Linked DNA regions of Canis lupus familiaris. The protein of the gene in region 2 purifies or fractionates together with the protein of the main gene of each other region. This does not show direct contact. Links are inferred from orthologs where the notes say so. Each region holds a gene or a part of one and is shown on either strand. Other genes may lie near its edges.

What was found.
Region 1: the proteins of SOX2 (region 2) and MYEF2 purify together in Homo sapiens (affinity purification with mass spectrometry; 3 studies listed by BioGRID and IntAct, with this or other methods). This does not show direct contact. The link is inferred for Canis lupus familiaris from reciprocal best matches to the Homo sapiens genes SOX2 and MYEF2.
Region 3: the proteins of SOX2 (region 2) and CCT3 purify together in Homo sapiens (affinity purification with mass spectrometry; 3 studies listed by BioGRID and IntAct, with this or other methods). This does not show direct contact. The link is inferred for Canis lupus familiaris from reciprocal best matches to the Homo sapiens genes SOX2 and CCT3.
Region 4: the proteins of SOX2 (region 2) and COP1 purify together in Homo sapiens (affinity purification with western blotting; 3 studies listed by BioGRID). This does not show direct contact. The link is inferred for Canis lupus familiaris from reciprocal best matches to the Homo sapiens genes SOX2 and COP1.
Region 5: the proteins of SOX2 (region 2) and UBR5 purify together in Homo sapiens (affinity purification with western blotting; 3 studies listed by BioGRID and IntAct, with this or other methods). This does not show direct contact. The link is inferred for Canis lupus familiaris from reciprocal best matches to the Homo sapiens genes SOX2 and UBR5.
Region 6: the proteins of SOX2 (region 2) and CTNNB1 purify together in Homo sapiens (affinity purification with mass spectrometry; 3 studies listed by BioGRID and IntAct, with this or other methods). This does not show direct contact. The link is inferred for Canis lupus familiaris from reciprocal best matches to the Homo sapiens genes SOX2 and CTNNB1.
Region 7: the proteins of SOX2 (region 2) and BAG2 purify together in Homo sapiens (affinity purification with mass spectrometry; 3 studies listed by BioGRID and IntAct, with this or other methods). This does not show direct contact. The link is inferred for Canis lupus familiaris from reciprocal best matches to the Homo sapiens genes SOX2 and BAG2.

The regions. Positions count from the first base shown.
Region 1 is NC_049251.1:14,705,047-14,708,546, forward strand, and holds part of MYEF2 (myelin expression factor 2), read right to left. Parts: intron 2,511-3,500; coding exon 2,458-2,510; intron 1,236-2,457; coding exon 1,228-1,235; intron 1,128-1,227; coding exon 1,034-1,127; intron 1-1,033. UniProt on the Homo sapiens protein: Transcriptional repressor of the myelin basic protein gene (MBP). Binds to the proximal MB1 element 5'-TTGTCC-3' of the MBP promoter. Its binding to MB1 and function are inhibited by PURA.
Region 2 is NC_049255.1:15,025,169-15,029,279, forward strand, and holds SOX2 (transcription factor SOX-2), read left to right. Parts: upstream 1-1,481; 5' UTR 1,482-1,509; coding exon 1,510-2,478; 3' UTR 2,479-3,611; downstream 3,612-4,111. UniProt on the Homo sapiens protein: Transcription factor that forms a trimeric complex with OCT4 on DNA and controls the expression of a number of genes involved in embryonic development such as YES1, FGF4, UTF1 and ZFP206. Binds to the proximal enhancer region of NANOG.
Region 3 is NC_049228.1:41,556,186-41,559,685, reverse strand, and holds part of CCT3 (T-complex protein 1 subunit gamma), read right to left. Parts: intron 577-3,500; coding exon 459-576; intron 1-458. UniProt on the Homo sapiens protein: Component of the chaperonin-containing T-complex (TRiC), a molecular chaperone complex that assists the folding of actin, tubulin and other proteins upon ATP hydrolysis.
Region 4 is NC_049228.1:23,216,169-23,220,145, reverse strand, and holds the start of COP1 (E3 ubiquitin-protein ligase COP1), read right to left. Parts: upstream 2,801-3,977; 5' UTR 2,475-2,800; coding exon 2,053-2,474; intron 1-2,052. UniProt on the Homo sapiens protein: E3 ubiquitin-protein ligase that mediates ubiquitination and subsequent proteasomal degradation of target proteins.
Region 5 is NC_049234.1:4,153,791-4,157,899, forward strand, and holds the start of UBR5 (E3 ubiquitin-protein ligase UBR5), read right to left. Parts: upstream 2,801-4,109; 5' UTR 2,720-2,800; coding exon 2,658-2,719; intron 1-2,657. UniProt on the Homo sapiens protein: E3 ubiquitin-protein ligase involved in different protein quality control pathways in the cytoplasm and nucleus. Mainly acts as a ubiquitin chain elongator that extends pre-ubiquitinated substrates.
Region 6 is NC_049244.1:10,789,130-10,793,172, forward strand, and holds the start of CTNNB1 (catenin beta-1), read left to right. Parts: upstream 1-1,243; 5' UTR 1,244-1,285; coding exon 1,286-1,298; intron 1,299-1,729; coding exon 1,730-1,957; intron 1,958-2,159; coding exon 2,160-2,413; intron 2,414-2,537; coding exon 2,538-2,776; intron 2,777-2,864; coding exon 2,865-3,066; intron 3,067-4,043. UniProt on the Homo sapiens protein: Key downstream component of the canonical Wnt signaling pathway.
Region 7 is NC_049233.1:24,633,002-24,636,078, reverse strand, and holds part of BAG2 (BAG family molecular chaperone regulator 2), read right to left. Parts: intron 1,324-3,077; coding exon 1,214-1,323; intron 1-1,213. UniProt on the Homo sapiens protein: Co-chaperone for HSP70 and HSC70 chaperone proteins. Acts as a nucleotide-exchange factor (NEF) promoting the release of ADP from the HSP70 and HSC70 proteins thereby triggering client/substrate protein release.

The DNA.
Region 1 (3,500 bases), on a different chromosome or scaffold from region 2:
TCTCATTTAATCTTCATAAAAACCCTATTAGGTGAGTACTATCAGTAGTACTATTATACTCACCGAGGTTTAGAGAATAAGTAATATGCCTAGTCACAGAAACTGATAGAGCTGGGATTCAAATCACTTCTATACCAAATTAAACTGTGACCAACAGTAATGCTCTACTACCAATGACTTGCAAGCTTGCTGGTAGAGACTCTTCAGGGTCCTAAGTACATTCTCAATTATTCGTAATATAGAATTTAGCAAAAACATATACATAACCGGTCTGTGATTAAACTATTCAGATAAGAGTACCAATACAAACTAAAGGAAGACATGAAAATGACTGCTACTCAAACTAATCATTACCAAGGTCAATTACACTTAAGTGTAAATAGTTGCTCATGTTATCTTCTGACCATTCTTTTTTCAACAGATTTATACTGCTATTGTTCCATACAAAGGGAGTTATCTCCACTTTAGGGGTTTTCAAGTTCCAGTTACAATTTCACTAATAGATTCACAAGTTGTTGTTTTGTTTTGTTTTTAATTTTAATCTGGCACAGTTTCAGAGTAATTTTCATTAAAAGTGACTATCAATTTTATTCAAATCCATAAGGTATTTGATTAAGCAACTTTTTATCATAAACTACAAGAATATCTATTGTATTTATCAAATTAAGCCACACAATCTAAAAACTGAAAATGTCTATACCGAATAAAGTCACACCTAAGGTTTGCCATCATTAAATGTCTGAATTTTTTTTTTAATCATGTGTCTGTACTTCTAACAACTTGCGACAAATCAAATACATAGGAAAACTGCTTAACGGCAAATAGGAAAGCATGTACAAGCAAAACTTTCATCAATTATATAATGCTTTCGTAAGCATCTATGCTAAAAAAAAAAAAAAAAAAGAAAGAAAGAAAGAAAGAAAAAAAAAGAAAAAAGTTGCAGTAAGAGAAATATATCCCCAAAGATGAAAATCCAAAGAAAACATGCCCTTATATTCAAAGTTTAAATTATTCCAAATATAAGAAATCTTACCTCTTTAATATTCAGGGGTCTTCCACTAAGATCATATTTGTTCATAGTTTCTAGTGCTTTCTTTACAAATTCTTCATCTTTGAATTCAACCACACTTAATGGGGAAAAAATTATAGGAAATGTTTATATACTAAGTTTTCTTTTTCCCAATCAGAAGTTTAAATTTGACTTGATACTTTAAAAAAAATTCTTACCCACAACCCTATATCCAGGTAGATTTGTCAATATATGCAAAAGAAAAAAAGTTTTAGATCAGTAGATGAAGTTAATGGCAGATTCTAATATTTAAGTCATTAAAAGCAACCAATAACACAATTACATTTTGTCTTTTTACACTTCCAGAACACAACAGGCAAGTGACCACAAATTTCCTGTCAATGTTTAAATCCATCTATGTAAGAGAGTAAAATCTAGCATTTAAAAAGCTTGGAGCAAATATTTACTTTTAGAGGACTCTTCTTTAAGTTAAGACAAAGTAACATCATCGCACAAATTCAGTCAAAAGTAACTCAAGGAAATAACTGAAGGTTTCAATACACCTATTCTCATGTCGTTAGGAATATTTCCAAAGGATGTATGATGCACAAATTGTTTTTAATGTATATCTTTCAGTTTTATTAAATCAATATAGGAAATAATCTTTTTAACTCAGTTCTCTATTAGACAAAACTGGCTGCACACAATTTAATAGCATCCAGTTTAAATATGTAAAAAAACAACCTATGCTAAAGAAACAAACTTATAGAATCATTTTAAAAATAATCATGTCATTATTACTGTTTGAAGTGCCATTTGAATGTAGTGACAAAGCTTTTCTCATGCACCCAACTGGTTCTTCCAATATAATTAAACACTGTTTAAAGTTTTCCACTGTATTCTTCAGAATGTTGCTTTCTTGTTGCTAAAAATCAAAATCTACTATCAACCAATTCCTTCCATGTCAATTTAATCATCAATGTCATTCATACCAATTGGTCAGAGCACTGCCTCTTATGTAGTCTTGCAGGCTACCAAATTAAGTTCTTCAATGTAAAGTTTCAAACATACATTCTGAATTAACACCTTTAAGCTATGGGCTTCTCATAGAACTCTTAGGGAATATTATCAATTCAGTAACTTTTAAAATATCCTTGAAGACATCAAAACACAACAAAAAAAAATCCTATATTAAATCTGTTGGTTAAGAAGAAGCATTACCTTAGAGCATTAGAAAAGTGAATGCCCTTTATGAAACCCATCCCTTCCAGGCAGCTAGTTTGGTTTGGATAAGTGTCAGACTTGCTAGTGTAAAGCCTCAAATCTTGCATAATAAAGTAAAGCAAAATGAAACTTAAGTTTCCAAAAACTGGTACAAATATTATACAAAAAAGTAAACTGCTGAGGAACTTTTAAACCTCAAGCAGATTATTGCCCACAGCACTTACCCTTGATTTTCCTTCCGCATCCTTAAAGAGCTCCACGTATGTAACCTCACCAACTACATAAGACATACAAAAGGAAGATACCAAGAAACAATACATTTAAACACCAGTATCTTGCTTTACTGCACACCTGTGCACAACTCTACAGAAAAGCACCTATTATTCACCAACAATCAAAACCAGACCAACATACCTCCTATCAATGGCTATGTAAATTTAACTAATTTTCTAAAATGTACATCATCCACTTTCTCTAAAAAAAAAAAGCTAACAACCATATTAACCTAATTCATGCTACAGATCATATTTTGGCCAGCATGATATAGTTGGTGAACAAATACACATATACATAACAAATGGTCCCTTAGCCTGTCATATTAAAAACATCAACATTAACACTTTTCAAATAACTTTGGTCGCCTACACACAACAGCTGTTTTAAGGTGACTTTCTACCTGAATGTCTTCAATCATGTTTGCCATCAGTAAACTAAATTTACAAGTCATGCTTCACAGCAAGCCACACACTTTCTAAATAAAGTCAATAAATAAAACCAATCAAATAGTTGTCACCTTACAACAGATACACCAATGCAAATTGTTTTTTATTTATTAGAAGAGATCAGCCTCAAAGCCAAGTACATAGTTTGCAGGACAGTTGAAACTCAATTTTTCAAGAGATAACAAAACTAACTTTTACAAGATCAAATATTAAAATTATTTTTCCCCAAAACCAACCATGTATATAAAATGAAGGTTTTCAGGTTATTCTAAAAACAAAACTGCAACAGCAGTAACGCAATTTTAATATAGAACTGCAGAGACAGCATCATGGCATTCATGACAATGCAAACAAAATGAACTCCACAGCCAGATTCCAGACTCCACCAAGAAAATAACAAAACAGCTTTTGGAAAAAAATAATCAGACCTTATTATTCATACTTTAACACGCTAAATGTATTACTTAACTAGTGCAATAGTCCTTTAAAAATCTATAAAAACTTCAACTAGACAAAGCAATCTCTTTAACAAAGTTCTTGGTGGC
Region 2 (4,111 bases):
CGGGGGCGGGGGGCGGGGGGCGGCGAGCGCGGCCCGGGGACCGGGGACCGGGGGGAGGGGGGAGGGGGGAGGGGGGAGCGCACGCCGCTCGGCCGCCCGCACCTCGGGGCGTCCCGCCGACGGTCGTCTCCCCTCCGCGCCCCCGGCCTCCTCTGGAAGGCGGCCCCGCGGAAGCCCTGCCCGGCGGCGGCTCGGCAGGAGGGTGGGGGCCCCGGACGCGGTGGGGGCAGCCCCCCTCGTGGGCGACGCGGCTGGGGCAGGGGGCCCGCGGGGCCGGCGGGGAAGCGCGGGCTGGAGCGGCCTCCCCGCCGGGGCACGTCGGCCGCGTTCGCGCTTAGGACCCAGCCAGCTGCCGAGCAACCGGCGGGGCCGCCGGGAGGGTCGGGGACGGCGCTTCCCGCCTCCTGACTTCAGGTCGGGACAGTGAGGAAGGGGGGAGCCGGGCCGGCGCCCGGAGGGGCGAGGGGCCGGGGCCGGGCAGGGGCAGGGGCAGGGCAGGGGCCGGGGCCGGGGCCGGGGCCGGGAGCGCGAGCCCGGGGAGGCGCGGGGAGGCGCGCGGGGCGGGAAGACCCGGACACACCGACTCTCGCGCCGCCTGTTTCCTGAAATCCTGGTGGGACCGTCGCCCTGAGCCCCCCCCGCCCCGCCCCTCCACCTCTGCGGGCCCTCGCGCCCCTTCCCCAACTCCGCGGCCAGCACCAAAAAAAGTAAATCAACGTGAAGTTTGAAGAAGAAAGAAAGAATCGTAGTCTTAGTGCTGTTTACCCACTTCCTTCGAAAAGGCGTGTGGTGTGACCTGTTGCTGCGAGAGGGGATACAAAGGTTTCTCAGTGGCTGGCAGGCTGGCTGTGGGAGCCGCCTCCCCCCTCCTCCCCCCCTCCCCCTCCTCCCCCCCTCCCCCTCCTCCCCTCCTCCCCCGCGCGGCCTGCGGCGCGGCAGGCCCCGCCCCCTTTCATGCAAAACCCGGCGGCGAGGCCGGGCTCGAGTGGAGGAGCCGCCGCGCGCTGATTGGTCGCCGGAAACCCATTTATTCCCTGACAGCCCCCATCACATGGATGGTTGTCTATTAACTTGTTCAAAAAAGTATCAGGAGTTGTCAAGGCAGAGAAGAGAGTGTTTGCAAAAGGGGGAAAGTAGTTTGCTGCCTCTTTAAGACTAGGACTGAGAGAAAGAAGAGGAGAGAGAAAGAAAGGGAGAGAAGTTTGAGCCCCAGGCTTAAGCCTTTCCAAAAAATAATAATAACAATCATCGGCGGCGGCAGGATCGGCCAGAAGAGGAGGGAAGCGCTTTTTTTGATCTCGATTCCAGTTTGCTTCTCTCTCTCTCTCTCTCTTTTCTTCCCCCAAATTATTCTTCGCCTGCTTTTTCTCGCGGAGCCCTGCGCTCGCGACACCCCCGCCCGCCTCCCTCCTCCTCCTCCCCCGCCCGCCCGCCCGCGGGCCCCCCAAAGTCCCGGCCGGGCCGAGGGTCGGCGGCCGCCGGCGGGCCGGGCCCGCGCACAGCGCCCGCATGTACAACATGATGGAGACGGAGCTGAAGCCGCCGGGCCCGCAGCAAACTTCGGGGGGCGGCGGCGGCGGCGGCGGCGGCGGCAACTCCACCGCGGCGGCGGCGGGCGGCAACCAGAAGAACAGCCCGGACCGCGTCAAGCGGCCCATGAACGCCTTCATGGTGTGGTCCCGCGGGCAGCGGCGCAAGATGGCCCAGGAGAACCCCAAGATGCACAACTCGGAGATCAGCAAGCGCCTGGGCGCCGAGTGGAAACTTTTGTCGGAGACGGAGAAGCGGCCGTTCATCGACGAGGCCAAGCGGCTGCGAGCGCTGCACATGAAGGAGCACCCGGATTATAAATACCGGCCCCGGCGGAAAACCAAGACGCTCATGAAGAAGGATAAGTACACGCTGCCCGGCGGGCTGCTGGCCCCGGGCGGCAACAGCATGGCCAGCGGGGTCGGGGTGGGCGCCGGCCTGGGCGCGGGCGTGAACCAGCGCATGGACAGCTACGCGCACATGAACGGCTGGAGCAACGGCAGCTACAGCATGATGCAGGACCAGCTGGGCTACCCGCAGCACCCGGGCCTCAACGCGCACGGCGCCGCGCAGATGCAGCCCATGCACCGCTACGACGTGAGCGCCCTGCAGTACAACTCCATGACCAGCTCGCAGACCTACATGAACGGCTCGCCCACCTACAGCATGTCCTACTCGCAGCAGGGCACCCCTGGCATGGCGCTGGGCTCCATGGGCTCGGTGGTCAAGTCCGAGGCCAGCTCCAGCCCCCCCGTGGTTACCTCCTCCTCCCACTCCAGGGCGCCCTGCCAGGCCGGGGACCTCCGGGACATGATCAGCATGTACCTCCCCGGCGCCGAGGTGCCGGAGCCCGCCGCCCCCAGCAGACTGCACATGTCCCAGCACTACCAGAGCGGCCCGGTGCCCGGCACGGCCATTAACGGCACACTGCCCCTCTCGCACATGTGAGGGCCGGACAGTGAACTAGAGGGGGGGAGACATTTTCAAAGAAAAACGAGGGAAATGGGAGGAGAGTAAGAAACAGCATGGAGAAAAACCCGGTACGCTCAAAAAAAAAAAAAAAAAAAAAAAAAAGTCATCACCCGCAGCAAATGACAGCTGCAAAAGAGAACACCAATCCCATCCACACTCACGCAAAAACCGCGATGCCGACGAGAAAACTTTTATGAGAGATCCTGGACTTCTTTTTGGGGGACTATTTTTGTACAGAGAAAACCGGAGGGGGGGGGCGTGGGGAGGGCGAGGGGATGGACCTTGTATAGATCTCTGGAGGAAAGAAAACTACGCAAAACTTTTTAAAAGTTCTAGTGATACGGTAGGAGCTTTGCAGAAAGTTTGCAAAAGTCTTTACCAATAATATTTAGAGCTAGTCTCCAAGCGACGAAAAAAAATGTTTTAATATTTGCAAGCAACTTTTGTACAGTATTTATCGAGATAAACATGGCAATCAAAATGTCCATTGTTTATAAGCTGAGAATTTGCCAATATTTTTCAAGGAGAGGCTTCTTGCTGAATTTTGATTCTGCAGCTGAAAATTTAGGACAGTTGCAAACGTGGAAAAGAAGAAAATTATTCAGATTTGGACATTTTAATTGTTTAAAAATTGTACAAAAGGAAAAAAAATTAGAATAAGTACTGGCAAAACCATCTCCGTGGTCTTCTTTAAAGGGGCAAAAGTTTTAGATTGTACTAAATTTTTTTTTAACTTACTGTTAAAAGCAAAAATGGCCATACAGGTTGACATCGTTGGTAATTTATAATAGCTTTTGTTTCCCAACTTTCCATTTTGTTCAGATAAAAAAAAAAAAGCAACAACATGAAATTACTGTGTTTGAAATATTTTCTTATGGTTTGTAATATTTCTGTAAATTTATTGTGATATTTTAAGGTTCCCCCCCCCCTTTATTTTCCGTAGTTGTATTTTAAAGATTCGGCTCTGTATTATTTGAATCAGTCTGCCGAGAATCCATGTATATATTTGAACTAATACCATCCTTATAACAGGTACATTTTCAACTTAAGTTTTTACTCCATTATGCACAGTTTGAGATAAATAAATTTTTGAAATATGGACACTGAAATTATGCTTGAGTCTTTCATTTATTTGGATAACACTGATTATACATAACTCCTCCGGGTATATACTGTGCTCAGCCAAGAAAGCAAAATACCTAAACCTTGGTATTCTAGTCCAGTAGCGTGTGCTAATGTTAATTGCAACAAATAAATGTCTGAATGATTAATTGAATATAAGTACTCTCAAAAAATTGAAATGCTTATATCATTTTGAAAATAGAAACTAGAGACATATATTGTAAACCCACCCTCTCCTTTTCTAAGCTGCATGAATAAGCATGATGGGGACTTATACTTAAAACTGATTTATGCCACTTGTTGCCAGAAAGAAGGAGTCAATTCTGAAAATTTTCATGTAGCTCAGCAGATGGGGTATTGAGCCAAATCAGAACCAGGTTGGCTGGTTTTGTTTTCGTTTTCCTCAATGCACAATGGCCCTTTGGAAACCTGGTTCTAGGGGAAAATGATGCTTCTTGTATCGGAATAATTGCAAACTAGACATGCA
Region 3 (3,500 bases), on a different chromosome or scaffold from region 2:
CGAAAAGCATTTTCAGCCCCCTTCCTTCTGACCTGAATGGAAAACTGCCGGCTACACTCTCCACAGCATTTTATTAGAACACTGACCGCATCAGTCATGATTGGGAGAACACTTTACTATTAAGTCCTGAATCATTAGTTACCTAACTCTTCAACTAATTCCACCCGTTGGCATCTAACATTTTCCATGGCAGCACCTAACACAGAAACAAGCAAACAGCACGTAACCAAGAGATATTTTGAAGAACTGTACTGAGTCCCTCTTGTCTACTTTGTATCCTTTGTCATTTTCCAAAATGTTTACATCTCTCATCCTCTGTTGGTTTTGCTCTCCTGTCTCACTCTAGCACAGGACACCAGCGTATAAATTGTGTGATGTGTCTGGCCTTCCTTCATCACCTCAGAACAGATCAGTCTTCCAGGCTCCCCAGAGATGATAGTAACTTCTGATCTCAATACCTGATTTTCTTAAGGGTGCTAATCATATCATCCAATGCCTTGCGGTAAGCACTGATCACCACTGTTGGGTGCATCTGCTGCTCCAGGAAGTGCTCAGCCACAGACAGCATCTCCCCCGCTGAAAAAAGATACACCATAATGGTTTTTAAAAGTACCTGGATTTCAAGGCAACTTCTTTTTCTTTTTTTTAATTTTTTTTTTATTATTATTTATGATAGTCACAGAGAGAAAGAGAGAGGCAGAGACATAGGCAGAGGGAGAAGCAGGCTCTATGCACTGAGAGCCCGATGTGGGATTCGATCCCGGGTCTCCAGGATCGTGCCCCGGGCCAAAGGCAGGCGCTTAAACGCTGCGCCACCCAGGGATCTCTCAAGGCAACTTCATTGAGTTTTCAAAATACTATTATCTTTTTTCCTAAAATACTGTCCCAAAAGCTATGCCAATTGGCTGTTAATACTATTCAAATTTTATACTTTATACAAGGGAATTCATAAAAAAAAAAAAATCATCAGACCTATTTTTTTTAAATGGTGGTGTGACAGAAGCCTTTCTTTTATTAAAAGACTTTACCCATTTATTCATGAGAGACAGAAGAGAGAGGCAGAGACATAGGCAGAGGGAGAAGCAGGCTCCATGCAGGAAGGCTGATGTGGGACTCGATCCTGGGACCCCGGGATCACGCCGTGAGCCAAAGGCAGACGCTCAACGGCTGAGCAACCCAGGTGTCCCTCAAATGTTTGAATTCTTGAATACTTTACACCAATTCTAAGTGACCAACGTGTACACTGAAAGATAGTAATTTTATTTATTTTTAAAAGATTTATTCTTTTTTTTTTTTAATTTTTTTTTTTTAATTTTTATTTATTTATGATAGTCACAGAGAGAGAGAGAGGCGCAGAGACACAGGCAGAGGGAGAAGCAGGCTCCATGCACCGGGAGCCCGATGTGGGATTCGATCCCGGGTCTCCAGGATCGCGCCCTGGGCCAAAGGCAGGCACCAAACCGCTGCGCCACCCAGGGATCCCAAGATTTATTCATTTTGAGAGGGAGAGCACACGTGCATGTCTGTACTCGCATTCAGGAGAGACAGAAGGGGAGGAGGGGACAAGACTGCACTAAGTGGGGAGTCTGAAGCGGGGCTCAGTCTCACAGCCCTGAGATCATGACCTGAGCTGTAACCAAGAGCCACCAGGTGCCCCCAAAGATAATTAAGCATTTTAAAAGATAATTAAGCATTTTAAAAGATGTTTGAGTAAGTTCACTCAGAAAAGAACATGTACGCCCTGCTAGAGAAGTCAGGATAACTTAAGAAAAATGAGTCTAGGAATGGCAGAGCTACCTAGACATATGGATACTTAACCCATCTAAGCGCTCCAGGAGATTCAACAAAGATTGTTAACTAGAAATTCTGCCTGATGTCTACCGCTCATCTTCTACCAAAAAAGTAAGAAATCATATAAAATCTGTCCTCCCTCTTTCGACTCCAAATTATCTTTCACTCCTCTTCATAAAAATTGGGTCTAAAGTGCTTAGTGGGCACCTAGGTGGCTAAGTCAGCTGTATCTGCCTCTTGGTTTCAACTCAGGTCATGATCTCAGAACTGTGAGATGGAGCCTTGCATTCAGTGGGGAGTCTGTTGAGATTCTCTCCCTTTGCTTTTACTCCTCTCCCCCACTCATGCGGGCTCTCTCTCAAAACTAAAATAACAAAGTGCCTAGTTGGTGGTGACTCCAGTACATCTCCACCCAATTTGATACATTCTAAAAATAACTGAAAATGCCACTTTAAAAGTTCACGTAAGGGATGCCTGGGTGGCTCAGTGGTTGGGCATCTGCCTTTGGCTCAGGGTGTGATCCCGCAGTCCCAGGATCGACTCCAGCATCGGGGCTCCCTGCATGGAGCCTGCTTCTCACTCTGCCTGTCTCACGAATAAATAAAATCTTTAAAAAAAAATTAAATCAGGGGATCCCTGGGTGGCTCAGTGGTTTAGCGCCTGCCTTCAGCCCAGGGCATGATCCTGGAGACCTGGGATCGAGTCCCACGTCGGGCTCCCTGCATGGAGCCTGCTTCTCCCTCTGCCTGTGTCTGCCTCTCTATCTCTGTGTCTCTCATGAATAAATAAAAATCTTAAAAAAATTTAAATCAAAGTTCCTATAATAATTCTATTGTATGGATTCTACTTTTAGGCATGTGAGTCAACACTATAAATAGGCATTCCTGGGCAGCCCTGGTGGCTCAGTGGTTTAGCACCACCTTCAGTCCAGGGCCTGATCCTGGAGACCTGGGATTGAATCCCACGTCGGGCTCCCTACGTGGAGCCTGCTTCTCCCTCTGCCTGTGTCTCTGCCTCTCTGTCTCTCGTGAATAAATAATAAAAATCTTAAAAAAAAAAAAAAAAAAGAGGCATTCCTTAAAATAGTTCTCATTTCTTTATCAATGTGTTACTGTATGTAGGTTTTTAAAAATGCCTTGATTAAAAAAATTCACCATTGACTTAAAACATATAGAGAAATAAAGGCAATGTTTTCAGAAGTGATTCTCCAAGATCCTATAGAAAATGGGAGATCAGTTATTAAAACTTGTATGGTCACGACTCATTGTCAAGATTCATTTGTCAACTTCATTACTTGCAAAAACGTTATTTGTAAGCCCCAAATCAGCATTGGGGACACTTTCATGGTCACACACATGTGCAGAGGTGGAAAACTCTGAGTCACTCAATACAATGCTCTGCCTTATTTCAGCTGTCATACTTTCCGAGGTATAGTTTCATTTTTGTATTTTTAAAAAAATATTTTATTTATTCATGAGAGAGAGAGAGAGGCAGGCACAGAGACATAGGCAGAGGGAGAAGCAGGCTCCATGCAGGAAGCCTGATGTGGGACTCAATCTTGGGACTCCAGGATTACGCCCCTGGGTCGAAAGCAGGCACTAAACCACTGAGCCACCCAGGGATCCCTCATTTTTGTACATTTTGTTGGTGATTCCACTGTTTGAACTGGCCCCCAAGTGTAGCACTAAAGTACAGTCCAGTTTTCCTAA
Region 4 (3,977 bases), on a different chromosome or scaffold from region 2:
CAATGCCAACTGCTTATATTATCCTATGGCTCTCTAATTCCCTACAAAATAGTCAATATACAACTCATGGTGCCTGGCAGACAGTTGTGCCAAATAAATATCTGTTGAATAAATTATTGATTCTCTTATTTCTCACATCTTCACTACTATTTCAGTGCACCTATAGGAATGCTGGCATATTTGTTTTCTTTTAACCCTCTAAAAATTAAAATGTGGGGATCCCTGGGTGGCTCAGTGGTTTAGCGCCTGCCTTTGGCCCAGGGCGCGATCCTGAGGATGCGGGATCAAGTCCCACGTCGGGCTCCCGGCATGGAGCCTGCTTCTCCCTCTGCCTGTCTCTGCCTCTCTCTCTCTATGTCTATCATGAATAAATAAATAAAATCTTTTAAAAATAAAATAAAATAATTAATTAATTAAAATGCAAATGGTGGTTAAAAAGACAAATCCAAGCAGCGCGGGTGGCTCAGCGGTTTAGCGCCGCCTTCAGCCCAGGGTGTGATCCGGGGATCCTGGGATGGAGTCCCCACATCAGGCTCCCTGCAGGTAGCCTGCTTCTCACTCTGCTTGTGTCTCTGCCTCTCTCCGGGTCTCTCATGAATAAATAAATCTTAAAAAAACAAAAAAAAAGAAGAAGAAGAAAAAGAAAAAGAAAAAGAAAGAGAAAAAGAGAAAGAGAATTTTTGAAAATCCTCATTTTGTTTCATCAGCTTCTACTTCATCATATGGCACCCTACTTACTGGGTATGAGCATAAACACCTCTTAGACCCACCCATAAGCTAGTTAAATTATTTATAAATAACAATTATAGCCAAGTTTCAATGAGAAACGAATTAATTGTCTCAATCCAGAGTAATGTAAGACCAAAGCAGAAATAGGAGTGAAGATAATTTTACTGCAAGACCTAGAAACTCTAATCAATTATCTTTCCTACAGTTCCATCGTGTAGCCCAATCTTACTTAATGATGCCAACTCACATCATCTTCAACCCTGAGGTAAATCAACTTCCCCTATAATGACAGCGCAAGCCAACTTCCTACTCATGTTCTAAGTCTATCAACAATTTCCTCCAAAAGAAAAGTGCAAAATCCTACCCGTTCTCACTTAACTAGAAGCAATTCCTTTCTCCTACTCCTACTGTTTGGATTGGGTTCTGGATACAAAAACCCAATGAGAAATCCCAAAACACTTCCAGCAAGACAATCCACTCCATCTCTCACTTAATATAGATAACCCAACTCTGCCAGACATCCTAACGGTATACTACTGTGTATCGTTCAAGATGCCAACTATGATGACAAGGTGTCTACTACCTGGCGTTCCTCAGATCGGAAGTTCCAGGGCACTGTAACCTGTTACACAAATGTAGTACAGCTACATCCGACACATGGATGCTGTTGAATAAATGTGGTTCCCTCGCGTCCAAGGCATTTAGTGACAAGTGGAAATTTTTGTGAACAGATTTTTATGACTACAGTAGCCTCAACAGCAGATTTAAAAGTGGCCTACCCTTTGAAGTGGGAGGATATTTATACACACACACACGAGGGATACTGACATGAAATACTACTTCTCCTTAAAATATCCATACCCACGTCTGGAGCACCATCTACCACACTTCCAATAAGCAAATTTGACCAACTCCGTCCCTCGGCCTCCCAGGAAGCTTAATCCTCTCCTTTTACAAGTTCAACAAGAAATCCGGACCGACAGGGTGTCGAATTCACCAGAAAGCAGAAAATTCACCAGAAAACAAAAAAACAAAACAAAAAAAAAAAAAAAAAAAAAGCAAGGCCCAACTTTCCCCGTTTACGCACCACCATTTACCCGACCCTCCTTCTCGGCCCCCTGACGCGTAATTCTTCCTTGGACTCCCCTCACGTCCTCCCCAGCAGCCCGGGCCTCCGCAGTCACCCCCACGTCCTCCGCCGGCCTGAGGGTCTGCAGACGCCGCCCCGGCACCACCTAGACCACCCTCCCGCCGCACCCCGCCAGCCCACACCGCGCAAACTCCTCGTGCCGCGGCGGGCAGGGCGATGCTCTTCCAACTCACCACACGAAGTCGTTGCTTTTGTCCTCGTAGGAGTTGATGAGCCCGTTGCACAGGGGGGCGAGCAGAGGTCTCTTCCGGCTGCCGCTGCCGAGGCCGGAGCTGCTCCCTCCCACGCCGGCGCTGGGCCTGGCCGCGCAGCTGAGCCGAGACTGGCCCGCGGACACCGCCCCGCCGCCGCTGCCCGACACGGCGGCCGCCACCAGCACAGGCCGCGCCGCCGGGCCCCCGAGGCCGCCCGACCCCGCGGCCTGGGCCGCCCCGCCGGACGCCGCCGCCGCCGCCGCCGCCGCCGCCGCCGCCGCCGCCGAAGGGGGCGACGGGGAGGAGGACAAGGACGAGGAGGCGGAAGTCACCGAGGAGGCCGCCGAGGAGCCGGGGCTGGTCCCGGCGGAGCCCGACCCGGCCTGGCGGCTCCCGGACATCGTGCCTCCCCCACCTCCGGCCGGGCGCTCGGAGAGGGACCGCGACCCGCCGCCGCCTCCCTCCCCTCACCTCCCCTCAACCTCAGTGCATCCTGAGGCCGCGCGCCGCGCCGCGCCGCGCCGGGAGGTGGGGCTGAGGAACAATAAAGTTGATCTTTTTTTTTCTTTTTTCTTTTTTTTTTTTTTTTTGTTTAAGGCGAGCACACAGCCGCGTCCGACGGGAGGAGGGGGCGGAGGAAACTGAAACAGCGGAGGAGAAACCACTGCCGCCGCCGAGGCCGCCACCGCCGCGAGCCCCGCCGCAGCCAACCGGGGCGCGCCGAGGGCCGGCCGTGCGCGCGCGCGAGCGGCGGAAGGGGCGGGAGCGGCGGCGGAGACAACCTCGAGGGCGGCTGGGACGCGCGCGGCGCGCCCCCGGCGGCGGCCTAGCAACGCGGGCTGCGCTCGTCCGCAGCCGAGCGGCGGGTGACGTACGGGGGGGAAGGGGGGAAGGGGGAGGGGGAGGGGAGGGAGGGAGGGAGGGGGTGGGGCTGTCCCAAAGGGTGAAAGGGCTGCGGAGAGGGGAATGAATGATAGGGTGGCGCCCGCGCTTGGGAGCTGGCGGGGAGGGGAGCGCGCCGAAGCGACTGCGCACGCGCTCTGGGCGCCGACCCTGGCTGCCGCCCGGGTCGCGGCCCCCCGCTCGGAGCGGCGCTGGCGCGGACCGGCTGCAGCACTGCGTGGGGCGACCGCCTTCCTGAAGGCCGAGACGCGGCTGCAGCCCGCGGCCCGGGCATGGCAGGTGCTTCCGAGTCGCCTTCTGAAGCCTCCGTGGACGCTACGGGAAAGACCCGGGGCTCTGAGCGGCTGAGAAGAGCCCTGCATTGACCCTCCACGAGTCTGGGCCCTGCTGTTAAGCCATTCATTCCACGCGGCTGTGAGGAGTCCATTAAGATGAAGTCAGTCACCGGTGCTTTGTAAATTGCAAACATCGTAGCAAGTGTTATCGATTATTATTGGTCCGACCGTGCTGTCTTGCATCTTGAAACATGAATTTACCAAATTAAGCATGACGATGACGAGAAAACCAGTTCTATCTGATCTGACCACGGCTCAGCCAGAATCTCGGTTTAATGTGGATCTGATATCCTCTACCACAAAACAAGGAAACCTGGCGCTTAATACCACGAAAAAAAGAAAAGAAATGTGTAATTTCTGGTAGCTTTTTGGAATACGGAAAATTGGATACAGGTTCTTCATTTGCCATTTTGAGACTCCCCAAGATTCTGGGTGATGTAAATTAGAAACAACTGGGTTGTTTTCGGTATTCTTTTCCAATCCTCGTCCTGTGGTTCTTAGAGGGAAAGATCCCAGATTTATTTTTGTTTAAAGATTTTATTTATTTATTCATGACAGACACAGCGAGAGAGAGAAAGAGGTAGAGACACAGGCAGAGGGAGAAGCAAGCTCCATGCAGGGAGCCCAACGTGGGACTCCATCCAGGGTCTCCAGGGTCACAACCTG
Region 5 (4,109 bases), on a different chromosome or scaffold from region 2:
GGCCTCTTAAGTTTTCTTTTACTCGCCAATTTATACCATACTGCCTGTCCAATCTTACTGCTTTTCATGTAAAGAATAAAGTCTACTTATTTATACCATTTTTCATCCGAAAACATCATTTATCATTTCATTTCTGGCACAGACACATTTCTTATATAAAAGTCAAGTTATAGTTTATAGTTTCTATTACCAAAACTTACTAAATCTTGGTAGTTTGTTTTTTTTTTTTAATGTGAAGATGAAAATATTCTGGACTTTTTGTTCTGGTTAAGGAGCTCCAGAAGCCAGTCTGTTTTGTAAACAGATATTTGTCAAGCAATGCAGCAATAGGTTGATCCTATTACTCTGCAAGGAGGTATGCAAAGAGGATCTTTCCCTTTGAAGGGGAGACACAGAATAGTTCCACTGTAAGTCAGCTACATCAAAACAGGGTGCATGACTATCTCAATGCTGTCCTCACAAATCTCAACAGACCATTCTTTATGCTACCAGCTTAACTACAGGTCCCCAAAATTTGACCTACAGCACTATTTTCTCAAATATCTGCCACCTCGATGCACACGTTTTATAATCTGAATCAAACTCACTTCTAGTTCATAAAAACTCAAAGTGGTCTAAATATTCTTAGTATTGTATACTGCCCCTGTGGGATTCAAAAACAAAACTGATTACTTGTTTACACTAGGAATTAAAGAAAAGGTAGCTTAAAAAAAGATACATTACTTGTAAATTTCTCAGACAAGCTAAAGTAAAAGCAATGTACAAAAATGAATCAAAATGCCCAAGACAAAATAGGTTTTGGCATAGTCAACTGAGTAAGCCAGTCAGGATTCTTGGTATCAAGCAGGACTAATACAGAAAGCATGGCCTACCCTCTCTCCTGACTGGTGCAATGTCCTAAATTACAAGACAAGTTACACTACAAGCCCTACCAACTTGGTTCTATGAATGACAGTAGAGCTATCCTCACTAATAGCCCGGTTCCAAAATTTACCCAAAAAATCTTTTAAGTCTTAAAGATCTCTATCTCTAATGAAGTGAAATCAGAATTAGGATTACATAACAAAGAAAATAAATGACAAAATTTATTTCAGTATTTTCAGCAAGTATTTCGAAAGTTTCACGAACAGCCAACAATTTGGCTACAGCAAAGATTAGACAAATCTGAACCAGTGCCACAAACTAAGCCCCCAGCTTTCGGACTGAGAAGCTCTCCGCCCCACCTGAGGCGGATAGATACTCGGAGACCGAGGCCAGTGTCTAAGCCGAAAGTTAGGCCTCTTCCTCCCTCCGGGAAGCGCATGACAAACAACGTCATGCAACTTATGTCACCCGGTCACTTAGCAAAAATCCTATCTAACTTCTAAACTTGGGTCCAGATGGCCATTTATACTCAAAAGAAATAGAAAGCAGCTAGATCATTGTGGGGGAGGAAGGCTTAAAATGCCCCACTTTCTGGCCCCTTTAAATATTCAGCCCATCATTAGATCGGAGTCCTAAATTCTAAGACTTACTTTAATGGAGGCCTCCCTCAACCTTCTCCATGTCTGTTTTGCAACAGTGAAGGAACTTTTCCTGCTTTATCTTAGTTCCCTGAGAGCATGCGGCCCTGCAATTCAATATCCTAAACTGGCAGGAACAGTGGAGGAGGCAAAGGGAGGAATCCACAGCCAAAATAGCCTTCTTATTAAAGACAAAAAAAAAAATCATAATTCCTCCTCCGCCCATAGCAAACCCATCCCAGAAATTTACAGCTTGTTAAGAAAGCAGCATTGCGAACTGCAAACGTAAGAGTTTTCCTTTGACTCTACGCACGGTTTTCAGCTGTCAAATTACAACTCAGGAAAACACTATCATTAGAATAAAAAAGGAAACAAAAAAGCTCGCACCATAGGAGCTGGGAGAAGGAGCTCACCAGCCCCATTACGGAAGAAGGAGAGCAAAGGGAATCCAATCCATTTCCCCACCCCCGCCTGAATTCATCCCCTCCCCGGGCAGGCAAACCTCACTGCAGGAGCTCAAATTTAATAATAATAACAATAATCATGGCGCTTCCATACCCCCCCCGCCCCGACGCGATCTGCCGGGAATCAGCCTCCCCCTCCCCTGGCATCTCCAGACTTGGCAGGTCCAGACTATCCCACCGGACACAGCTCCCGGGGGCCCGGGCGAGCCCGGTCTACCCCCGTGCCCCTCGCCCCGCTTCTCTTCTTCCCTCTCTTTTTACCTCCACCATCCCCCATCCGCATTGTCTGTCTCAATTCAACTTTGACTAATATGGATTCCTCGGGCCTGGGCCGGGCGGTAATTACAGCCCGCCCCCCCCCCGCCGGGAGCCCGATCCCCCCCCGCAATCATCTCCGCCGAGTTCAACGCGGCTCCTCGGAGGGAGACGGGGCGGGGAGGGGGGAGGAGGAGGTTGCAGCGCGCCTTCCCGTCTACACCGCGGGCACCGTCTCCACCGCGCTCCCCCCGCGGCCCCGGACCCCCGGGACCAGAAGTTTGCCCCGGAAGGGGCCTAGCCGGGGGCGGTGAGGCCCCCCCGCGCCCGCCGGCCGGCGCGTAAACACGGGCGCCCGCCCCGGCGCGGCCTCGTGGGGGAGGGGAGGGCGGGGAGGCGCCCCTCCCCCCGCCCGCCAGCCCGCCGGCCCTATTACCTGTCATTGAGCTGGTCCTCGGTGCCCGGCAGCGGGTGAACCACGAAATGGATGGACGTCATGGTGCTTCCTTCTCGTCCTCCTCCCGAGGACGGCCCCCTCCCGCTCTCGCCCACCCCCTCCGAGCCCCCTTCCCCTCCCCAAAACCCACTGCCGCCGCCGCCGCCGCCTCCCAGTCCCCAATGGAGGGAAGCGAATGCGCAGGGGCCGCCGCCGCCTCCCTGCCGGGCGTGTGTCCGCGGCCCGGCGGTCCGGCGGGGCGGGCAGGGGCGGATCAACACGCCACCCGCTCCCCGGCGACAGCGCGCGGGAGTGCGAGGCCGGCGGCCGGGACTCGGGGCGCGCCGCCGCCAGCGGCGGCCGGGCGTCGGGAGCGGGGGCGCTGGGGAGGGCGGAGAGGGGCGGGCTGCGGGCTGCGGGGACGGTGTGGTCCCGGCGGCGGACGGGGTCCGGACTAGGGAGGTGGGGAGGGAGATGAGCCCGCACCGCGCGTCACTGGCGAGAAGCCGCCGCCGCCGCCAGCACCGCCGCCGCCATCTTCACTTCTGCCCCAGTTTCTCCGTCTCGCAGGCTCCGCTCCCGAGCGGCGGGGGAGGGGCGAACGGGAGGAGGAGAAGGAGGGAGGAGACCGGCGGGCGGGGGCTCGGCTGCGAGGGGGCGGGGCTCCGGGAAACGGGCGCTAAGGCCCTTTCGATTGGGCGGCTCAACGTCGTCGGGCCACGGCGCTGTAAGGCGCGCGCCGATTGGTCGGTGCGGCCCCGAGCCCAGCCCCCCGGGGGGTGGGAGCGCTCCCGAGTGAGTGTTCCGGAGAGCACGTGTTAGGGAAGGAGGCGGCGCGGGGGAGCCCGCCGGGGCGGGGAAGGGGTCTGCGAGGGCGGCTGAGTGTGTGTCCCCGGGGACGTGGGAAGGAACGGGGGCTCTGCGCTCCTCGCTCTGATTTCCCTGGGGCGGTCCTAATCATCCTGCGGATCTTTAGGGGTTTTTTGTTGTTGTATCTCGCCCTTCATCCGCAGTTATATTTAAAGTGGAAGTGCAAAATCACTTAAGGGGCAAGGAATACACAGCCTTTTATTGGAGAAGTGAGGTAGTTATGTAAGGACCTTTCCAGAAGGTCCTATCGCAGGATCCGAGAGCTGACTTTGCAGCAACTTCTTTTATCACCCCAGTCTCCCCAGTGTTCCCGGCAACACGTCACATACCTGCACAAAGACAAAATGTGGAAATTTCCGCTAATTTCCTGCTTTAAATGATTCATGGGGTTTTTTTAACTACTTTGAAATGAAAGATGATATATCTCTTCTACAAAGGCGTTCTTCAACTCATGGTCAGTGGGATCAAACCGGCAATTTCTTGAATGGATCTTTTTTCTAAGGAATTCCTTTTTTTTCTAGAGAACCAGTTCATAGCTTTCTTCTCAAAGGCTTGCATGGCTCCTTCAAAAAAATCAAGTAC
Region 6 (4,043 bases), on a different chromosome or scaffold from region 2:
ACAGGAATCACCTTTATTATTTTCTGACCTTCATTTTGTCATGTAAAAAAAGATCATCAGTTGTGTTTCTACTGTGGACACTAAACAATTGTATCCATAACTCTTGTTATCTTTACATATCAAGTGACCTTTGTGGCTATAAAAATCTAGTACTGCAAGAGCAATTTTAGGAATAATTAACACATGCTTCCTTTACATAGAGCACATAGGACTTCAGAGTGTAGTTTCCAACTTCTTTAAACATTTAAACTCCTTTTTACATGGATAGAGTACTCACTTCATGCTTAAATATTTTAGTCCATATCTTTACATATTGGTAAACCAATATGTTAAGTTGTAGTGTAAGATGAACTTGTTTACGGGAATACTTTGTGATAAAGGAAATGTTATTATTAGGAATATCTGGTGGTTGTGAGCCTTTACAAGACCCACAGTTCTAATTTGCAAGTAGTTTCCCATGTGATTCAGTGTTTTCCTATTACACAGTGAGGCCAAAATGTAAACATAGATGCTAGGATTTACATATATATAAATTATGTATTTATATATATAGTACTTTTGTAATATATATATATTTTTTGTAATGATCAAAACAGCATTCTGGTCGGTAATAGTTGTATTTATAATACATCCATACTATAAATTTGAACTAGACAGATTTTACTAAAAGGGTGATTATTGTGTTGCAGATTTACATTTGAAAAGTAATTTTAGTTAGTAACAGATCTCAAACCCAGTGTTCTGATCCAGTCAGCAAAACCTACTTTGTATTTTAGATGTCTTTGTATTCTATCAGGAAAGAAAAACCATTAGTGAAAATCTAGTTTTTTTTTAAAGTCCATGTCCAGTCTCACCAGAAAGATCTCTGAATTTTTCAGTGAAAGAAGTTAAAAAGAGAGGGGAGAGGTATTTTGGGAATTCGAGGAGTTATTTCCTACCTTGGCTTTCACTATAAATTTTCTTCCTCCTCAACAATAATTAAGCTTTCTGACATCCTGAATAACTGTAATTTGTATTTCTACCTAAAAAGAGGTGTTTACTAAAAGAGGTTCAGCAGTGGTGGAGCTGTGGGGAGTGTATTAAGGAGACCATGGAGTCTGGCTTTCACTCTCACATGGTAAAGGGGGATTTGGGGGCTTTTTGTGGATATAATCCATGATGTTTAGCAGGTCATCCTAGTGACTTAAAAGTACTAAAAACTAATTTTAAATCCTAATGACTTGATTAACTCTTTTAGGGTACCTGAAGCACACCATACAACGGTTTTGAAAATCCTGTGTGGGGAATGGCTACCCAAGGTTTGTATCAAAAGTCTTTAGTTACTGAATCGGGGCTCTGCTTCATTGCCATTAACCCAGTCTGGCTCAGATCCCCCTGCTTTACTCTCTCCCTGCTTACTTGTCAGGCTACCTTTTGCTCCATTTTCTGCTCACTCCTCCTAATGGCTTGGTGAAATAGCAAACAAGCCACCAGCAGGAATCTAGTCTGGATGACTGCTTCTGGAGCCTGGATGCAGTACCATTCTTCCACTAATTCAGTGAGTAACTGTTAGGTGGTCCCTTAAGAGTATAGATATTTCATCACTGAGCTAATCCTGGCTATCGTTGTTTATTCTTGGCTGACTTTCAGATTTGACTATTTCTAACAATATTTCAATGGGTCATCACAGATATTTTAATGAATATAACATCTCCATGGTGGTAATGCTAATATTGTTTGATTTTTATAGCTGATTTGATGGAGCTGGACATGGCCATGGAGCCAGACAGAAAAGCAGCTGTTAGTCACTGGCAGCAACAGTCTTACCTGGATTCTGGAATCCATTCTGGTGCCACTACCACAGCTCCTTCTCTCAGTGGTAAAGGCAATCCCGAGGAAGAAGATGTGGATACCACCCAAGTCCTGTATGAGTGGGAACAGGGCTTTTCTCAATCCTTCACTCAAGAACAAGTAGCTGGTAAGTATTTTATTGCCTTAATAAAAGTTAGAAGGCAATTTTAAGAATGATTCTTTAAAAAGTTAGTATGTAATAGCTTAAATAAAATGGTGTGGTAAAGAAAACATGGAGTGATTGTAATGTTACCTTTACCACTTAGGGTAGCACAAATTCAGGTGAATGCTGAATTATGGACAGTGAGTGTTGAATTTATTTTTTCCAGATATTGATGGTCAGTATGCAATGACTCGAGCTCAGAGGGTGCGGGCTGCTATGTTCCCTGAGACATTAGATGAAGGCATGCAGATCCCATCTACACAGTTCGATGCTGCTCATCCTACTAATGTCCAGCGTTTGGCTGAACCATCACAGATGCTGAAACATGCAGTTGTAAATTTGATTAACTATCAAGATGATGCAGAACTTGCCACACGTGCAATCCCTGAACTGACAAAACTGCTAAATGATGAGGACCAGGTAAGTAAGGACATGGCTAGCTTTTAATCTGCTTTAAAGGAAACTCTCAAGGAGCCTCAGAATGTTTATCCGGTATCAGTATTTGAAAATCATAATTCTGTCTCTTAATTCCTATACATTATAGGTGGTGGTTAATAAGGCTGCAGTTATGGTCCATCAGCTTTCTAAAAAGGAAGCTTCCAGACACGCCATCATGCGTTCTCCTCAGATGGTGTCTGCTATTGTACGCACCATGCAGAATACAAATGATGTGGAAACAGCTCGCTGTACTGCTGGGACCTTGCACAATCTTTCTCATCATCGTGAGGGCTTGCTGGCCATCTTTAAGTCTGGGGGCATTCCTGCCCTGGTGAAGATGCTTGGGTAAGAAAACATGGTTAGGATGCTTGAAGCTAAGGAGGAGAAGGGTGCCATCACAGCCTTTCTGATGAGGCTTTTTTTTTCTTCCCAGTTCACCAGTGGATTCTGTATTATTTTATGCCATTACAACTCTCCACAACCTTTTATTACATCAAGAAGGAGCTAAAATGGCAGTGCGTTTAGCTGGTGGACTGCAGAAAATGGTTGCCTTGCTCAACAAAACAAATGTTAAATTCTTGGCTATTACAACAGACTGCCTTCAGATTTTAGCTTACGGGAATCAAGAAAGCAAGGTAAAAGAATTTTTCTGAGTATGGCTCATGGAGCATTGGGGAATCCAGTGTCATGTCCTTCTGTGGACTCTTGCACATTCTTTGTATGCCTCACCCTTTGTGTGTATCCTAGAAAAAAAGCTGGACATCTCTTTTTCTTTAAATATTTGTTTATATAAGGCTAGGTGATAAGGATATAGTGGGCATACTTAGAGCTTTCATACTTAGGTGGAAGATAGGCACTAATTAGAGATAATAACCTAATTACTATTTAATTCATGTATCTGGAAGAAGTAGAGGGGCTGTGATAGCATATACGTGAACCACACCCTGCTTGGAAGGTTTAGAGAGACCAGTGGAAGGAAGTGATAGTGGAGTTCAGTTCACAAGGATGAGGAAAGACTGACTAGGTGAAGGTGAGAGAGAGGAATTGACACCTTTGAAAGTCCTACTGAGAGAGGAGAGGGATGAATTTACAGAGTAAAGAAGAGGAAAGGTTTGAGATGAGAGTATTGAGATTAGCAGGGAAGGTCCTTCAGGGCCTTGTAGAATATGTTTTTAAAAAGTAATGGAAAGCAGTTCAGTATCAGCAGAGGCATGAAGTGAGGAGATTTGTTTTTAGAAAATCAGGATAGTTTGGAAGTAGGGGTCTGCAGGAAAGTAAAGGGCAAGAATGAGTAATTATTTTATGATACTTCATTTTAAGTAGGTGAATAATGATTAGGAAAAGCCAAGAGCCAAATCATTAGGAGTTCTAAGCACCTGTTCTGGCTCAAATTTTCAAGAAATCTGCTTTGATATACCATTGATATATGGACAGTACTGTTGCATACCAACATGGTTTCTGTTTCTTTTGTTCTGATCAGTGTGAGAGGAAGAATATTGGGGAAAAGTTGAGATATTCTTGGGAGTACTGGGATGCCTGAATTTGAGTGGAATGGTGTAAGAGGGGCTAAACGTGGTCCCAGTATGGGAATCTGGGGTAATGGGGTTCAGGG
Region 7 (3,077 bases), on a different chromosome or scaffold from region 2:
TATAAGGGTTTCTTGTGATTCACAGTTATCCTTCCTGGTACACGGAGGCAGGCACCCTTACAAATGGAAATATCCCTTATAAATGTAAACATCCCTTACAAACAAGTAACTTCTATTCTGTTTTCAGAGCTTCTCCTGTGTCTGCAGTTTCTCAAAAATAATCAGCTTGAAATAATTCTTATGCCAAAGAGGCAAAATTTGAGATGGTATATTTTGCATGGATATCAGAATACAATGCTCCAATTTTGGCTGAAAAAAACATAACCATGATGGTGGAGAAAAAGCTGGCCTCGAAATTCGGCAGTGACTCATCCTTTCCAGGGAAATTTAAGCAGGCCAGTGGTTTCTAAGTCTTGGCCAGCACAGAGAGGCAATGGTGGGAAAAAGGATCCACATTTCATTATTTACATGAAAAAGTCAGTAATCTCCTCTTTGTCCTGTTCTGTAACTCCCTTTTTTTTTTTTTTTTTTTTTTCCCTGTAACCCCCTTCTTAATTCATCAATCTTTGGCCAGGATGATGAAAAGACCGGCCAGATCTTGATCCTGCCATGTGTGTCTAACCGTGCAGGGCCTGGAGTTAGACTGTACACTCATGGCACCAGCTGTTGGACCATGAGCTTGTCTAGGGAGGCCCCGGAGCAACCAAATTAGAAAGATCACCGCCAGTGAAAGGAAATACAAGTGCCCTATTCCTCCACGGAAACTCATGCTTTTCATATAGAAATGATAGCACATTTTTACATTAATGGGGTTTTATTGGGTCCATTATTTCTTTCCCCTGGATTTTATCTCAATACCTCAACCCCTCTCGTTTGTCCTCTCTGCCATCCAGTAACTTCTGAGGAATTGAAGTCAGGACTGTAAACCTGAGGTCAAAGGCATCACCTTACTGCTTGGGACCACCTCTTCTGGAGCTTGGAGGCCTTTTTTTTTTTTTTTTTTTTTTTTTTTTAACATTTCTAACCATGCCCCTGAGGTAGGCAGCAGGCCAGAAGGGTGACCTCTGGGTAAATGGTTCTTTTTTTTTTTTTTTTTTTTTTTTTTGTAAATGGTTCTTGTAATAATAAATTGACAGCTGTTGTCCGCTACTCATGGGAAATGCTGAAGCCAAGTGTACTCATTCCTCAAGTCAAGTGAAAATGGACCCACACTTATCCTAAATCCCATGAAAGAGTGGAAAAGATGAGCTCCCTTCTGTGGAAATGCTCTCACCATCGCTGATCTGCCTCATATCCTGGCTATTCTGGATGCTGTGGATCATTTCCAGGAGGATTTCTTTCTCTTGCTCAACAGCAGTTGCGGCTTCTCTCAAGGCTTCCACCCTATATAAATTGGGAAAACAAAAGTTACCACAGGGAAGTTTCCTTTTCCTCATCTCTATTATTTGCTCCATCTCAAGTTTAAAGATCCTTAGGAACACTTTTGAAAAGTTCTTTATTCTTTTTTAAAAACTTTAAAATTTTTCGGGCAACCCTCTTGGGGCCCTCCCTCTTCGGGAGCTTTGTACCATCACTTTACTATCGCTCAATAAACTCTGCTTTGCTGCCTGTCAAAAAAATATATATTTAAAAATTTTTTCTATTGTTTTAAATCCACCCACCCCAGTCTCCTTTTCCTCCTCGCGTGTATGGCATTCTATTTAGTGTTTATCTATTTTGTATTCGTTCATAACAAAATCTGTATTTGTGTTTTCATCTATTTTCAATTTATATTTCACTGTTTCTTTTTTCACTCAGCATTTTATTAAGAACCATCCAGATTCCTATGTGAATATCTAATCAGTAGCTTCTGATTGCTGCATGATACTCCATGTATATTCACCTGATTTCACCTCCTCTCTCCCAGTGAAAATGCTTACCATGTCCCCTTACTTGTCATCAGCACAAAAAAGCACTTCAATGAATACAGGTCCCCTATGGACTTGAATGAGAACCTTCTTAGGATTTATCTCAGGGCAGAACTGCTGAGACACAGGGTATGTGCACCCACCATTTAATTCGGTACTACCACTGTTCTCCAGAATGGCCACACTAGACCACTGTTGGGAAGCAAGTATTCTTGTCCCCTCAAAGGTTCTTCTAACTGGACTAAGAATCAAATTGACATGAGACAATTTACAGGAGAAAATCCAATTTAATAGTGTACATAGGGGAATCCACATACACATGGAAATTCCAAAGACAATTAGGCAAAATGAGGTATACCTATTATTCTGAAAGAAGGAGAAGGGGGTTAATGGTCTGGGACTTCAAAGAAAAGGAACGCAGGGTGATAAGAAGAGCAGATGTTTGGTAATTAGATGTTTGCCCTGCCATACAGATGGGCCACTCAGATAAAATTTATCTCTGCTTATAACCTTTATTCTGGGAAAGACCCCTAATTTAGATTCTTCTGTGTGGTTAAGGGAGGGGCAGAAGTTTCTCCTGAGCCTGCAGGCTCTCAAGTGCCTTCAGCTCAAAAGAACCCACATGCCAAAGTGGCACATTCTGGGGGGCCCTGTCCTGAACCCCTTCACAATATTCCCAGCAGTAAAGCATTGGAATCCCTGTGTTCCCACACCCCTACCAACACTCAGCATCTTCCAATTTCCTATTTGTTGCCAGTCTACTAAGTATACAGTGATATATTCATAATTAATCTGCATGTCTTTCATTACTAATAATTTTGGACATCTCTTTGTATTCTTGTTAGCCTGTTCACAGCCTTTGCCTATTTTGTTTTTTCTTTTTTAAATGGGGGTTACTGTCCTCTTGCTGATTTGCATACTCAAAGAATTAGTCCCATGTTAGTTACAGACATTGTAATAATCTTCTTCGATCCTATCATCGATGAATTTTGCCTGGGATATTCTTCACTGAATAGATATCCTTACTTTGAAGTGATCAAATTAATATTTTCTTGGTTTTGTTTGCCTTGTGGCTTATGCTTCTGAAGGGTCTTTACATCTGAGGTCATAAGGTATTTTCCTACATTTCTTTCTATTAACTTCATTGTTTTACTTTTCTCATATTTATGGCTTAGTCCATCTAGAATCCACCTATATGTGTTTAGGTAAGGATTTTTTGTTTTATTTTTC